Linked DNA regions of Ovis aries. The protein of the gene in region 1 purifies or fractionates together with the protein of each later gene. This does not show direct contact. Links are inferred from orthologs where the notes say so. Each region holds a gene or a part of one and is shown on either strand. Other genes may lie near its edges. The genes, in order: SNIP1, PNN and NKTR.

Region 1 (3,649 bases):
TGTGTGGGGAAGGAGCATGGAGGGCTGTTGGTCGAGGGGAGAAAAAGAATCAGGGTGACTTCTAGGTTTTTTGCCTGAGGAACAGGGTGGATGGTGGCACTAATTATCCAGCTGGCAGAAAACAGAGGAAAGTGTCTTGGGTGGTTGGGAATCTAGAGTTGCTATCTAAGTGAGAAGTTCTAGTAGGCAGTTACGTATGTGGAAGACATAGGACCAGAAAAGTGAAGCTCCTGATTCTTTTAGTGTGATCAGCAAAGACATGGTGTTTGTGTTAGTTGGATATGCCTGATGCTTGGAGCTGTTTTGTATGAGGGAATGAAAGTTGAGATAAATGTGTGTACCATTTTCTGAACAGGTCCCCAGCCAAAAAGAAAAACAAATCCTCAGGGAGAAGAAGCAAGTCTCCCCGGAGTAAGAGAAGCCGAAGTCCTCACCACTCAGCAATCAAAATAAAGCAGGTAAGTGGACTGAGATGTTTTCGTACTGGCTCCAAACCTAGAGCCTCTCCATCATAGCTAAAGTGGTGTGTGTGTGTTTTCCTGTACCTGCAGTGGGCTTCTCCAAAAACTGGGCTTTTTTTTTTCTTTTTTCTTCTTTCTTTGTTAAACTTTTTATTTTGAGATAATTGTTGATTCACATGCAGTTGTAAAAGGTAATACAAAAGCCACAGTTTGTCCCAATAGTACCATCTTACAGAATTATAGAACAATATCCCAACCAAAATGTTGACATCAGTTCTGTCAAGATACAGAACATTTCCATCACCACAGGATTCCTCAAGTAGTTCTTTTATATCACACCCAGTTCCCGCCTACCCTTACCCCTCCAACTCCTGGCAGCTTCTAGTCACTTCTCCATTTCTGTTATTTTGTTTCCTCAAGAATGCTATGTAAATAGAATCACACAGTATGTAGCCTTTCTGGATTGGCTTTTTCCACTCAGCTAAGTTCTTTTGGAATTCATTTATATTGTTGCTTTTGTCTGTAGTTCCTTCGTTTTTATTGCTGAACTGTAGTCAATGGTATGGATTTAACCATTTGTCCATTAAAGTGTATCTGGGTTGTTAGCAGTTTTTGGCTATTAGACATAAGACTGCTGTGTATACATTTCTGTACAGGTTTTTGTGTGAACATAGGTTTTCGTTTCTCTGGGATAGATGCCCAGGAGTGCAGTTTGTAGATGGTATGGTAGGTGCTTTTTTTTTTTTTTTCCTAAAACATTAATAAATTGTTTTCCAGAGTGCTGTGTTAGTTTGCCAGGTCTTCCATAACAAAATACCACAGACTGGTTGCCTTAAACAACGGAATCTAAGAGGCTAGAAGTCAGAGATCAAAGTTTCAGCGGTTTGGTTTCTCCTGAGGCCTTTCTCCTTGGCTTGCCTTCTTTGTTGGGTCCTCATAGTCTTTCCCTCTGTGCTCGCCCATCTCTGACTCACATCTTCTTTAACCACATCAGCCATATTGGATTAGGGGCTTACTCATTTTAACTCAATCAGTTCTTCAAAGACCTTACCTGCAAAAAATCTGGTTACAGTCTGAGGTGTGGGGGTTGAGACTTCAGTATGTAAATTTGGAAGGGGCGCAATTCAGTCCTTACAGTGGCTATCCCTTTTTATAATGTGAGTGATCCAGCATTTGGTATTGTGACCATTTTGACCATTCTGATAAGTGATAGTGATACTGTGATTTTAATTTGCATGTCCCTGGTGGCTAATGACGTTGGGCATCTTTTCATGTGTTTATTTGCCATCTGTGTTTCCTCTTAGGTAAAATGTCTCTTCAGATCTTGTGCCTATTTTCTAGTTGGATTGTTTTGGGTTTTTTTACTACTGATTTTTAAGAGGTTTTTTTTTTTTTGGTAATATATTCTTAGATACCAGGCCTTTTTGGAGTGAGAGGTTTTCCAGTATTTTCTTTCCGTCTGTATCTTGTCTGTTCATTTTCTTAAAAGAGTTTTCCTCAGAGCAAAAGTTTTTGATTTGTTTGGAGTCCAGCTTGTCTGTTTTTCCTTTTACAGATTATGCTTTTGGTGTTATGTCTAAGAACTTCCCTGACCCTAGAACCTGAAGATACGTTTTTCTTTAATATTCATTTAAGTCCATGATCTGTTTTGAGTTTGTTTTAATCTAAGGAAGGAGCCTTAAATCAAATTTCCTTTTTCGCCCCGTGGATATCCATTTACTCCAGCACTAGGTGTGGAAAGACAATTTTTCCTCCCTTTAATTGCTTTTGCTTTGTCAGAAATCAAAAGTGTGTGTGTGTGCCTTTATTTCTGGGTCCTCTGTTCTGTGCCATTGATCTGTCATTCTGCCAGTACCACAGTCTTGATTACTGGAGCTATATAATAAGTCTTAAAATTGAACAGACTGGTTCTTTCACTTTCTTCGTTTTAAAAATTGCTGGGACTTCCCTGGTAGGCCAGTGGTTAAGACTCTGAGGCATAGGTTTGGTCCCTGGCTGGGCGGAACTAAGGAGGCACATGCCACAGGACATGGCCAAATAAATAAATAATTGTTTTAGGAATTCTCGTGCCTTTATCTTTCCACATACATTTTAGAACAATCTTGTTTGTATCTATTGAAAAAACTTGCTAGTATTTTGATTGAAATTGTGTTAAACTTGTACTTTTTGAAAAATTTTAAAAAATTATGTAGCGTCTTCCAGTCTTTGAATATAGGTGTATCTCTGTTTATTTAGATCTTTGATTTCTTTTATCAGTGTTTCAGTGTACAAGTCCTGTATGTGTTTTGCTAGATTTGCACTTAAGTAATTTTTTTAAGTTATCATTAAATGATGGCTCTAGTCCATGGGGTCGCTAAGAGTCGGACACAACTGAGCAACTTCACTTTCACTTTCATGCATTGGAGAAGGCAATGGCAACCCACTCCAGTGTTCTTGCCTGGAGAATCCCAGGGACGAGGGAGCCTGGTGGGCTGCCATCTATGGGGTTGCACAGAGTCAGACACGACTGAAGTGACTTAGCAGCAGCAGCAAGTGATATTTTGAATTTCAGTATTTACTTGTTCATGGCTAGTACATAGAAATATGATCCATTTTTGTATGTTTATCTTACACCCTGTGGCCTTACTGAACTCATTTATTTGGCCTAAGTAAATCCCAACCTAAAACTTGGGATTTTCTGCATAGATAGTCACGTCTGCACAGGGGCAGTTCTGTCTGTCTTCCTTTCCAGTGCATGTTCATTTTATTGCCCCTTGCTGCATGGCTGGGACTCTCGCACTGAGTGGAGCAAGAGCAGTCAGATCAGGCTCTCCTGCCCTGTCCTCATTCCTGAGGGACAGGCGTTCAGTCATCGTCTTGTGCTCTTTCCTCCAAGTTTTATTTAATTTTTGACAGTGCTGGGTCTTTGTTGCTGTTGTGGACTGGAGAATCCCAGGGACGCGGGAGCCTGGCGGGCTGCCGTCTGTGGGGTCGCGCAGAGTCGGACACAACTGAAGCGGCTCAGCAGCAGCAGCAGTGGACTTTCTCTAGATGCAGTGAGCAGAGGCGACACTCTTGTTGTGGTATGCAGGCTTAGTTTCCCTTGTGGCGTGTGGAATCTTCCCGGACCAGGGATCAAACCCGTGTTCCCTACATTGGCAGGCAGACTCTTAACCACTGGACCACCAAGGAAGTCCTCAGTCCTCTGT
Region 2 (3,749 bases), on another chromosome or scaffold:
TGCTATACTCCAAATACATTGATTAATATATTCCCAAGTGCCTAAGGATATGGAGGCCTGGTGGCAATCATTGACTCAACAAGAAGAAAAAGTCCTATGCTAATTAAGACTCTCAAAATACTCCAAAACTCTGTGCTGTTTATGGTTGAGAGGTAGTAAACAATCATGTGCCTAGTGGCAGCAGTAAGGATAATCCTGTCACACAAGCTAGTCTGTCAGCAGAGAGGTTTGACCTGAGACATCCCTGTCCCACCCAGAGCAGGGAATTAGTAGCAATTATTGACACAACAAATGAAAAACCCTTCACCAATATAATTCCTAACCAACTATACTAATAATTTCTAACTCCCCAAAAGATTTGCCTTTAGTAAGTCTAAAACATCTCATGCCTCTCAGGTTAGGAGGCTGTAGACAATCACATGTGGCCAGACGAACCTATACAGGTGGGCTAGATAACCTTCAGAGGAGTCCGTAAGCTGAAACACTCTTGTCACGCCCAGGAATTTTTATTGCTTTGGAGCTGCACGTTTACTCCTTCTCAGAGAGAAACGGTTATGGGGGAGAGCCCCCCGTAAAGTCAGAGGTGTAGGTGAGAGCATAAAACCGACTCTGGTTTTGGGGTTAGATGCTCGGGAACAGGGGGTTTCCTGAGGCTTGATCACGCCTTTGCGTATGCCAAGCCTCCTTCCTCATGACCTTTGCCATGGGCGGAATTCCTCACGCTGCCCCCGGCAGGGGATAATGTATGTAAAGTGTTTCACAGAGTACAAAATAACTGTTAGCTATTAGGAGGAATGACTTTTCTTTCACTCTCTTCCCTCCGCTCTTTTAAGGTTTAACCTAATCAAGAGAAGTCTGCGCCCCTCCCACCGCCTCTCTGAGCATGCGCACCAACGGAATGGCCGCACCCTTTCCTAATCAAATCATTTACTGGGGGGAAGACGAGGAAATAGACTCGCTTGAACCCTACTCTGAGGGTATCAGGTGGTAAAATCATAAGAGGCACGTTCTCTACAGGTTAAAAGGGCCAGGAAGACCCCGCTCTCCTCACCAGAAGAGCTGGGCCGCGAACCCACGTCTCCGAGGACCCAGGTACTCAAACCCGCCCCAGCTCTGCGCTAGAAGCGGAGCCCAGCCACCCGCAGCTAATTGGGGAAGGAGGAGACCCCTGCCTCACTTTTCATTGGCCCAGAGTCACAAAGGCCGGCAGTTTCTCCCCCTTCCGGTTGCTGAGTGGTTGAGGCCGAAATACAACTCCTTTTGCCATTGGCCGAACCCAGCTGTCAGTCTTCTGGCGTCTTGCGGCGCGACACAGGCAGGCGCGGCCTATAGAGCAGTCTCGAAGCCTGCTGCAGGGAGAAGATGGCGGTCGCAGTGAGAACTTTGCAGGAGCAGCTAGAAAAGGCCAAAGAGAGCCTAAAGAATGTGGATGAGAATATTCGCAAGCTCACCGGGCGGGATCCGAATGACGTGAGGTAAGGAGTGGATGGGAAATGCTGGCTACCAGAGGCGGCCGTGAAGCCGGGGTGAATTGGGGGCGGGGAGGGCGGTCAGCCCTGAGAAGACTGGAACATCGAGGCCTGTTCGCGGGCAGCCGTGGGACCCTGTCCTCGGTGAGGTGGGAATTTCCAAGGCCTTCAGCGTTAAGTCCTGGGTCTTGGGTGCGTGAGGAAGGAGAGCGGAGCCTGGGTGCGCCGGGATGGTCTCCGGTCCTGTGGGAAGGCCGGGACTGCCGATTCCCGCCCTCGGCCCCGCAGGCCCGGAACTGCAGCACAAAGCCTTCCTCCTTCGCGGGCCACCCGATTCAGGGCTGGCCCTGGGACCTTCCGGGGACGCGGTCCGCTGCCTCACCCTCCGGCTCTTGCCCACGTGCAACTTTCTTTGGGTTGGTGAAATTTGAACCTGACTCAGGCCTGTTAACGTGTAGTGGTGTTAAGATAAATACAATTTTGTGAAACTGGTCTTGGGAAAACGAGGAAGTTAGTAAAGTGCTTATTGCCGTGTTTCGGGTTTGAAACCGTCATCTTGAAACTTTTCTGTTTATTTTCTCTTGATGGTGAACTGCACCCGTTGAAGTGTTTGGTGCTGTTAGAAACGATTGTTGAACTGATTTGTAAATTATTTTGTAGGCCCATCCAAGCCAGATTGCTCGCCCTTTCTGGTCCTGGTGGAGGTAGAGGACGTGGTAGTTTATTGCTGAGGTAAGATTTCCTTAAAATTTAATCTATTGGTACTGTACTAAATTAATGAATCGGTTTAAACAAATTTCTTGCTAGAGCCAGTGTTAAGAAAAGTTTGATTTGAAGCTGTGATTAGCTGTAGTTCTCTGTATGGTTAATTTACATACAGCTAGAGATTGAAGAATACGGTAACTATATCAGTTATGTGCAAACTTAATATATTCTCATAGATCTAAAAGAAATGCTATAAGAACATCCATCTTGAAGTAAATGTCCATTTGAGGTTACTTTATTTGGAAGAGGAGTTTTTAATAACAGCAACTAAATTATCTTCTTAAATAGAAATAACCATTTTTCTTAATTTTCATATGCTTTATGTTGGACATTTTTATTGCAGGCGTGGATTCTCAGATAGTGGAGGAGGACCCCCAGCCAAACAGAGAGACCTTGAAGGGGCAGTCAGTAGGTATGTTGGAGGACAAGATTCTGAAAGCATACTTTATTTTATGAGGTAGAATGTAAATATTTAATATTGTTGAATTGAGTTGTATTAGGATTGAGTAGTATATCACTTACTCTGAGTCTTTTCACTTGGTATTTGACTGAACTGAGATAGCCAGTATCCCTCAAAACTCAGTTCTTCATGGCAGTAACAGAAATCTTAGCACATGGAGAAGGAAATGGCAACCCACTCCAATATTTTTGCCTGGAAAAGTCCATGGACAGAGGAGCCTGGCAGGCTGCAGTCCACGGGGTTATATGACTGAGCACGCATGCATGATAGAGATTGGAGGGAGATGGGTTGGTAGCAGTAAACTGGTAGAACTAAAAAAAGAAAGCACAGTAAAGGTCAGGAGAAAGATAAGATGGAGGAGATTGTCTGTCTGTGTTACTTTCCTGTCTTATACTACAAAAGCTTAACTGGGTTGAGAGCTGCTGCTGCTGCTAAGTCACTTCAGTCGTGTCTGACTCTGTGCAGACACGACTGCGGCAGCCCATCAGGTTCCCCTGTCTCTGAGATTCTCCAGGCAGGAACACTGGAGTGGGTTGCCATTTCCTTCTCCAATGCAAAAGTGAAAATGAAGCCGCTTAGTTGTGTTTAATTCTTAGCGACCCCATAGACTGCAGCCTACCAGGCTCCTCCGCCCATGGGATTTTCCAGGCAAGAGTCCTGGAGTGGGCTGCCATTGCCTTCTCCCTGGTTGGGAGCTGTAGGAGATCAAAGTTTGAATTGGCCTTTTAAAATTCCCTTTCCTATGTCAGGCTGGGAGGGGAGCGTCGGACTCGACGAGAATCACGCCAAGAAAGCGACCCAGAGGATGATGATGTTAAGAAGGTAATTGAAATTAAAAGAACTTCATAGAGGGTGAATATAGTATTTTCACCTTACTACATTTAGTAGAGTGCTACCTGTATGTTAGTTGAATTACTGAGATTTCTTTTCTCCTGCAGCCAGCTTTGCAGTCTTCAGTTGTAGCTACCTCCAAAGAGCGCACGCGCAGAGACCTTATCCAGGATCAAAATATGGATGAAAAGGGAAAGCAAAGGTATCTTAAGTATCTTTCTGGA
Region 3 (3,649 bases), on another chromosome or scaffold:
GCTCAGCCTTGTTCACAGTCCAACTCTCACATCCATACATGACCACAGGAAAAACCATAGCCTTGACTAGACGGACCTTTGTTGGCAAAGTAATGTCTCTGCTTTTGAATATACTATCTAGGTTGGTCATAACCTTTCTTCCAAGGAGTAAGTGTCTTTTAATTTCATGGCTGCAGTCACCGTCTGCAGTGATTTTGGAGCCCAAAAAAATAAAGTCTGCCACTATTTCCACTGTTTCCCCATCTATTTGCCATGAAGTGATGGGACCAGATGCCATGATCTTCGTTTTCTGAATGTTGAGATTTAAGCCAACTTTTTCACTCTCCACTTTCATCAAGAGGCTTTTTAGTTCCTCTTCACTTTCTGCTATAAGGGTAGTGTCATCTGCATATCTGAGGTTATTGATATTTCTCCCAGCAATCTTGATTCCAGCTTGTGCTTCTTCCAACCCAACGTTTCTCATGATGTACTCTGCATATAAGTTAAATAAGCAGGGTGACAATATACAGCCTTGACATACTCCTTTTCCTATTTGGAACCAGTCTGTTCCATGTCCAGTTCTAACTGTTGCTTCCTGACATCTGAATGCAGAGTTCCAAAGAATAGCAAGAAGAGATAAGAAAGCCTTCCCCAGCGATCAATGCAAAGAAATAGAGGAAAACAACAGAATGGGAAAGACTAGAGATCTCTTCAAGAAAATTAGAGATACCAAGGGAACGTTTCATGCAAAGATGGGCTCGATAAAGGACAGAAATGGTATGGACATAACTGAAGCAGAAGATATTAAGAAGAGGTGGCAAGAATACACAGAAGAACTGTACCCAAAAAAAAATGTTTTTACCTGTAGGCAAATCCTAGCATTAATCTTAGGTATAGTCCAAAGTCTGTCCAAGGAGCTAGTTGTATTCTCTTAGTTAATATGTAGTTATGCAAAGGCACTGCTGTTAGATCAGTGTTTACTGCTATGTTTGAATGGGTTTAAATATTGAAATGAATGTGAAATAGTATGTTCAAAAATCTTAGTATGTTGAATAAGCTAATGAGTATAATCATTAGGACTTCTAAGGAAAAGTTTGTGTGTGATTATAGGTGAATATCTGCTTTTCCTATTTCTTTTAGTTTGATTTAACTTTATACCATCATTATGGTACTTCAGTCATTATTGCGTTTGAATGGCATCCAAGATTGAGTCTTATACTTAGCTGTCCTATAGCAGATTACAGTTGGGAAGTATTTTTTAAATAGTTATTCCTAACTTTGTTTTTAAAGCGCTATCACACACCTCCAAGATCAAGATCCTGTTCTGAATCAGATGATGATGATAGCAGTGAAACTCCTCCTCACTGGAAAGAAGAAATGCAGAGATTAAGAGCATATAGACCACCTAGTGGAGAAAAATGGAGTAAAGGAGATAAGTAAGTAAAAGTACAATCCTTTCTCTGCTGTATTTTAAGTCTTAAGGGGATAGAGACATACTTCTGGTTTTTTCACTAAAGATTTATATTTAAAATTAGATTGTGACCAGAGAATACATTTGGGAATGCTTGATGAAATGGAAGGAGGGATGATTGGCTTTGGATACTTTTAAATCAAAATTCTGTTTTCTCTCACAAGAGCATTACCCTACTGAATTTCTTAAAGATTTCTTGTTTAATTTTAGCAATAATCAGGACTTTATTTTTAAAAATTACGTAGCAGATTCTCTCATAGCCTTTTTTTTTTAGTCACTAATGGTAGATAAGAAAATTTGTAGCCAGTGTGTGTGTTAACGTCTGACCCTAGGGACTATTGCTTCTTCAGCAGTGTACCCATCTCTTGTCTTCAGTGACACTCCACAGTGGATTATCTATTTTAAAAGTGGGGCTGGCCCCAGAATAGCTAGTGCAAAATATATCAGTGGGACCCTGTGTAGAATTGTCTTTCTCTGTGGCCATCCAGCGGAATGGTTCAGAGTTCAGAGAGGGAGGACAAGGTGTGTGATGTGCTGTGTGCAAGCGGTATGGATATGGTAGCTCTGAGAACAGTTTTGAGCCCTGACATTAGCACTGATATTGTAAAGCCTGCATCTTAGTTTTCGTGTACTTTTCTCCCAATTTCTGTACTAAGTAGTTTAACTAAAACCTTAATGAAAAGTCTATGATTACCTCTATGATCCTGAGATAAAACAATAGTCATGCTAGTTTCTTAAAAAGAGGCAGGCCTCCCTGGTAGCTCAGTGGTAAAGAATCTGCCTGCCAGTGTAGGAGATACGGGTTCAATCCCTGATCTGGGAAGATCTTACACGCGTTGGAGCAGCTAAGCCTGTGTGCCACAACTATTGAGTCTGTGCCTGGGAGCCGCAACTACTTAAACCCATGTGCACTAGAGCCTGTACAAGAAAAGCCACCATAATGAGAAGCCCACACACTGTAACTAGAGTAGCTTCCACTCGCCACAACTAGAGAAAGCATATGCTGCAACAGTGAAGACCCAGCACAGCCAGAAATAAATAAGGTTATTTTTTAAAAAAAGAAAGAAAAAGAGGCTTGTCAGGAATTCCCTGGTGATCAGGTGATTAGGACTTGGAGCTTTCACTGCCAGGTCCCAGGTTCCATCCCTGGTCGGGGAACTAAGATTTCACAAGTCATGCAGCCAAAAAAAAGGAGGCTTCTCTTAAAGTTTTGGCAGTTATCCTATATCTACAGAGAATCAGCAAATTGTTTGGGAACTTGATTTGACTCCCTCAGAAATTATTCCTGAAGGCAGAGCATTATTGAGCAGATCAAAGCCAGGAATTTGGTAGGTCAGCAGTGCTTTTGTAATTAGTTGGTTTGCTTTTCAAAACTATTTCCTATCAAATTTGAAAATTCCTGATTTGACTTTGGAAAAATCCTTTTGTAAGTGAATCTGTTAATAGTTATTTCTTTGAAGTTTTATAATTTCAGGACCAGGCCTATCAACTATTTGCTTTATCCTTCCTACGTGTGCTTAAAGCATTAATAAGAGTTAGTACTTGGTTGTTAACTAGGCTTTTGTTGATGCCTAGTATTGACAACAAATGTGTTTTAATTTTAAAGGTTAGAAAACATGCTTGTAAATAACTGCCTGCATATTATGTCCTTTTTATAGGTTAAGTGACCCCTCTTCAAGCCGATGGGATGAAAGGAGCTTGTCCCAGAGATCCCGATCGTGGTCCTATAATGGATATTATTCAGATCTGAGTACAGCAAGACACTCTGATGGTCACCATAAAAAACGCAGAAAAGAGAAAAAGATTAAGCATAAAAAGAAAGCTAAAAAGCAGAAACATTGCAGAAGGCACAAACAGACCAAGAAAAGAAGGATTATTGTACCGTCTGACATAGAATCCTTAAAATCTTCAACCCGACGAGTGAAATCTTCATGTGATAGAGAAAGGAGATCTCATTCTTCCTCATCGTCATCTCATCACTCGTCCAAGAGGGATTGGTCTAAATCTGATAAGGATGACCAGAGCTCTTCAACCCATTCCAGCAGAGACTCATACAGATCAAAATCTCACTCTCAGTCTTATTCTAGAGGAAGCTCAAGATCAAGGACTGCCTCAAAATCTTCATCACATTCTCGAAGTAGATCAAAGTCCAGATCTAGTTCTAAGTCAGGGCGCCAAAGAACAGCATCAAAATCACCA

Evidence for each region.
Region 2: the proteins of SNIP1 (region 1) and PNN purify together in Homo sapiens (affinity purification with mass spectrometry; 4 studies listed by BioGRID and IntAct, counting the BioPlex papers as one, with this or other methods). This does not show direct contact. The link is inferred for Ovis aries from reciprocal best matches to the Homo sapiens genes SNIP1 and PNN.
Region 3: the proteins of SNIP1 (region 1) and NKTR purify together in Homo sapiens (affinity purification with mass spectrometry; 3 studies listed by BioGRID and IntAct, counting the BioPlex papers as one, with this or other methods). This does not show direct contact. The link is inferred for Ovis aries from reciprocal best matches to the Homo sapiens genes SNIP1 and NKTR.

Annotation. Positions count from the first base shown.
Region 1 is NC_056054.1:12,368,410-12,372,058, reverse strand, and holds part of SNIP1 (smad nuclear-interacting protein 1), read left to right. Parts: intron 1-355; coding exon 356-458; intron 459-3,649. UniProt on the Homo sapiens protein: Required for pre-mRNA splicing as component of the spliceosome. As a component of the minor spliceosome, involved in the splicing of U12-type introns in pre-mRNAs. Down-regulates NF-kappa-B signaling by competing with RELA for CREBBP/EP300 binding.
Region 2 is NC_056071.1:46,897,304-46,901,052, forward strand, and holds the start of PNN (pinin), read left to right. Parts: upstream 1-1,282; 5' UTR 1,283-1,362; coding exon 1,363-1,475; intron 1,476-2,129; coding exon 2,130-2,201; intron 2,202-2,577; coding exon 2,578-2,646; intron 2,647-3,443; coding exon 3,444-3,516; intron 3,517-3,632; coding exon 3,633-3,727; intron 3,728-3,749. UniProt on the Homo sapiens protein: Transcriptional activator binding to the E-box 1 core sequence of the E-cadherin promoter gene; the core-binding sequence is 5'CAGGTG-3'. Capable of reversing CTBP1-mediated transcription repression.
Region 3 is NC_056072.1:14,760,558-14,764,206, forward strand, and holds part of NKTR (NK-tumor recognition protein), read left to right. Parts: intron 1-591; coding exon of another isoform or gene 592-606; exon of another isoform or gene 607-651; intron 652-1,269; coding exon 1,270-1,415; intron 1,416-3,108; coding exon 3,109-3,649. UniProt on the Homo sapiens protein: PPIase that catalyzes the cis-trans isomerization of proline imidic peptide bonds in oligopeptides and may therefore assist protein folding. Component of a putative tumor-recognition complex involved in the function of NK cells.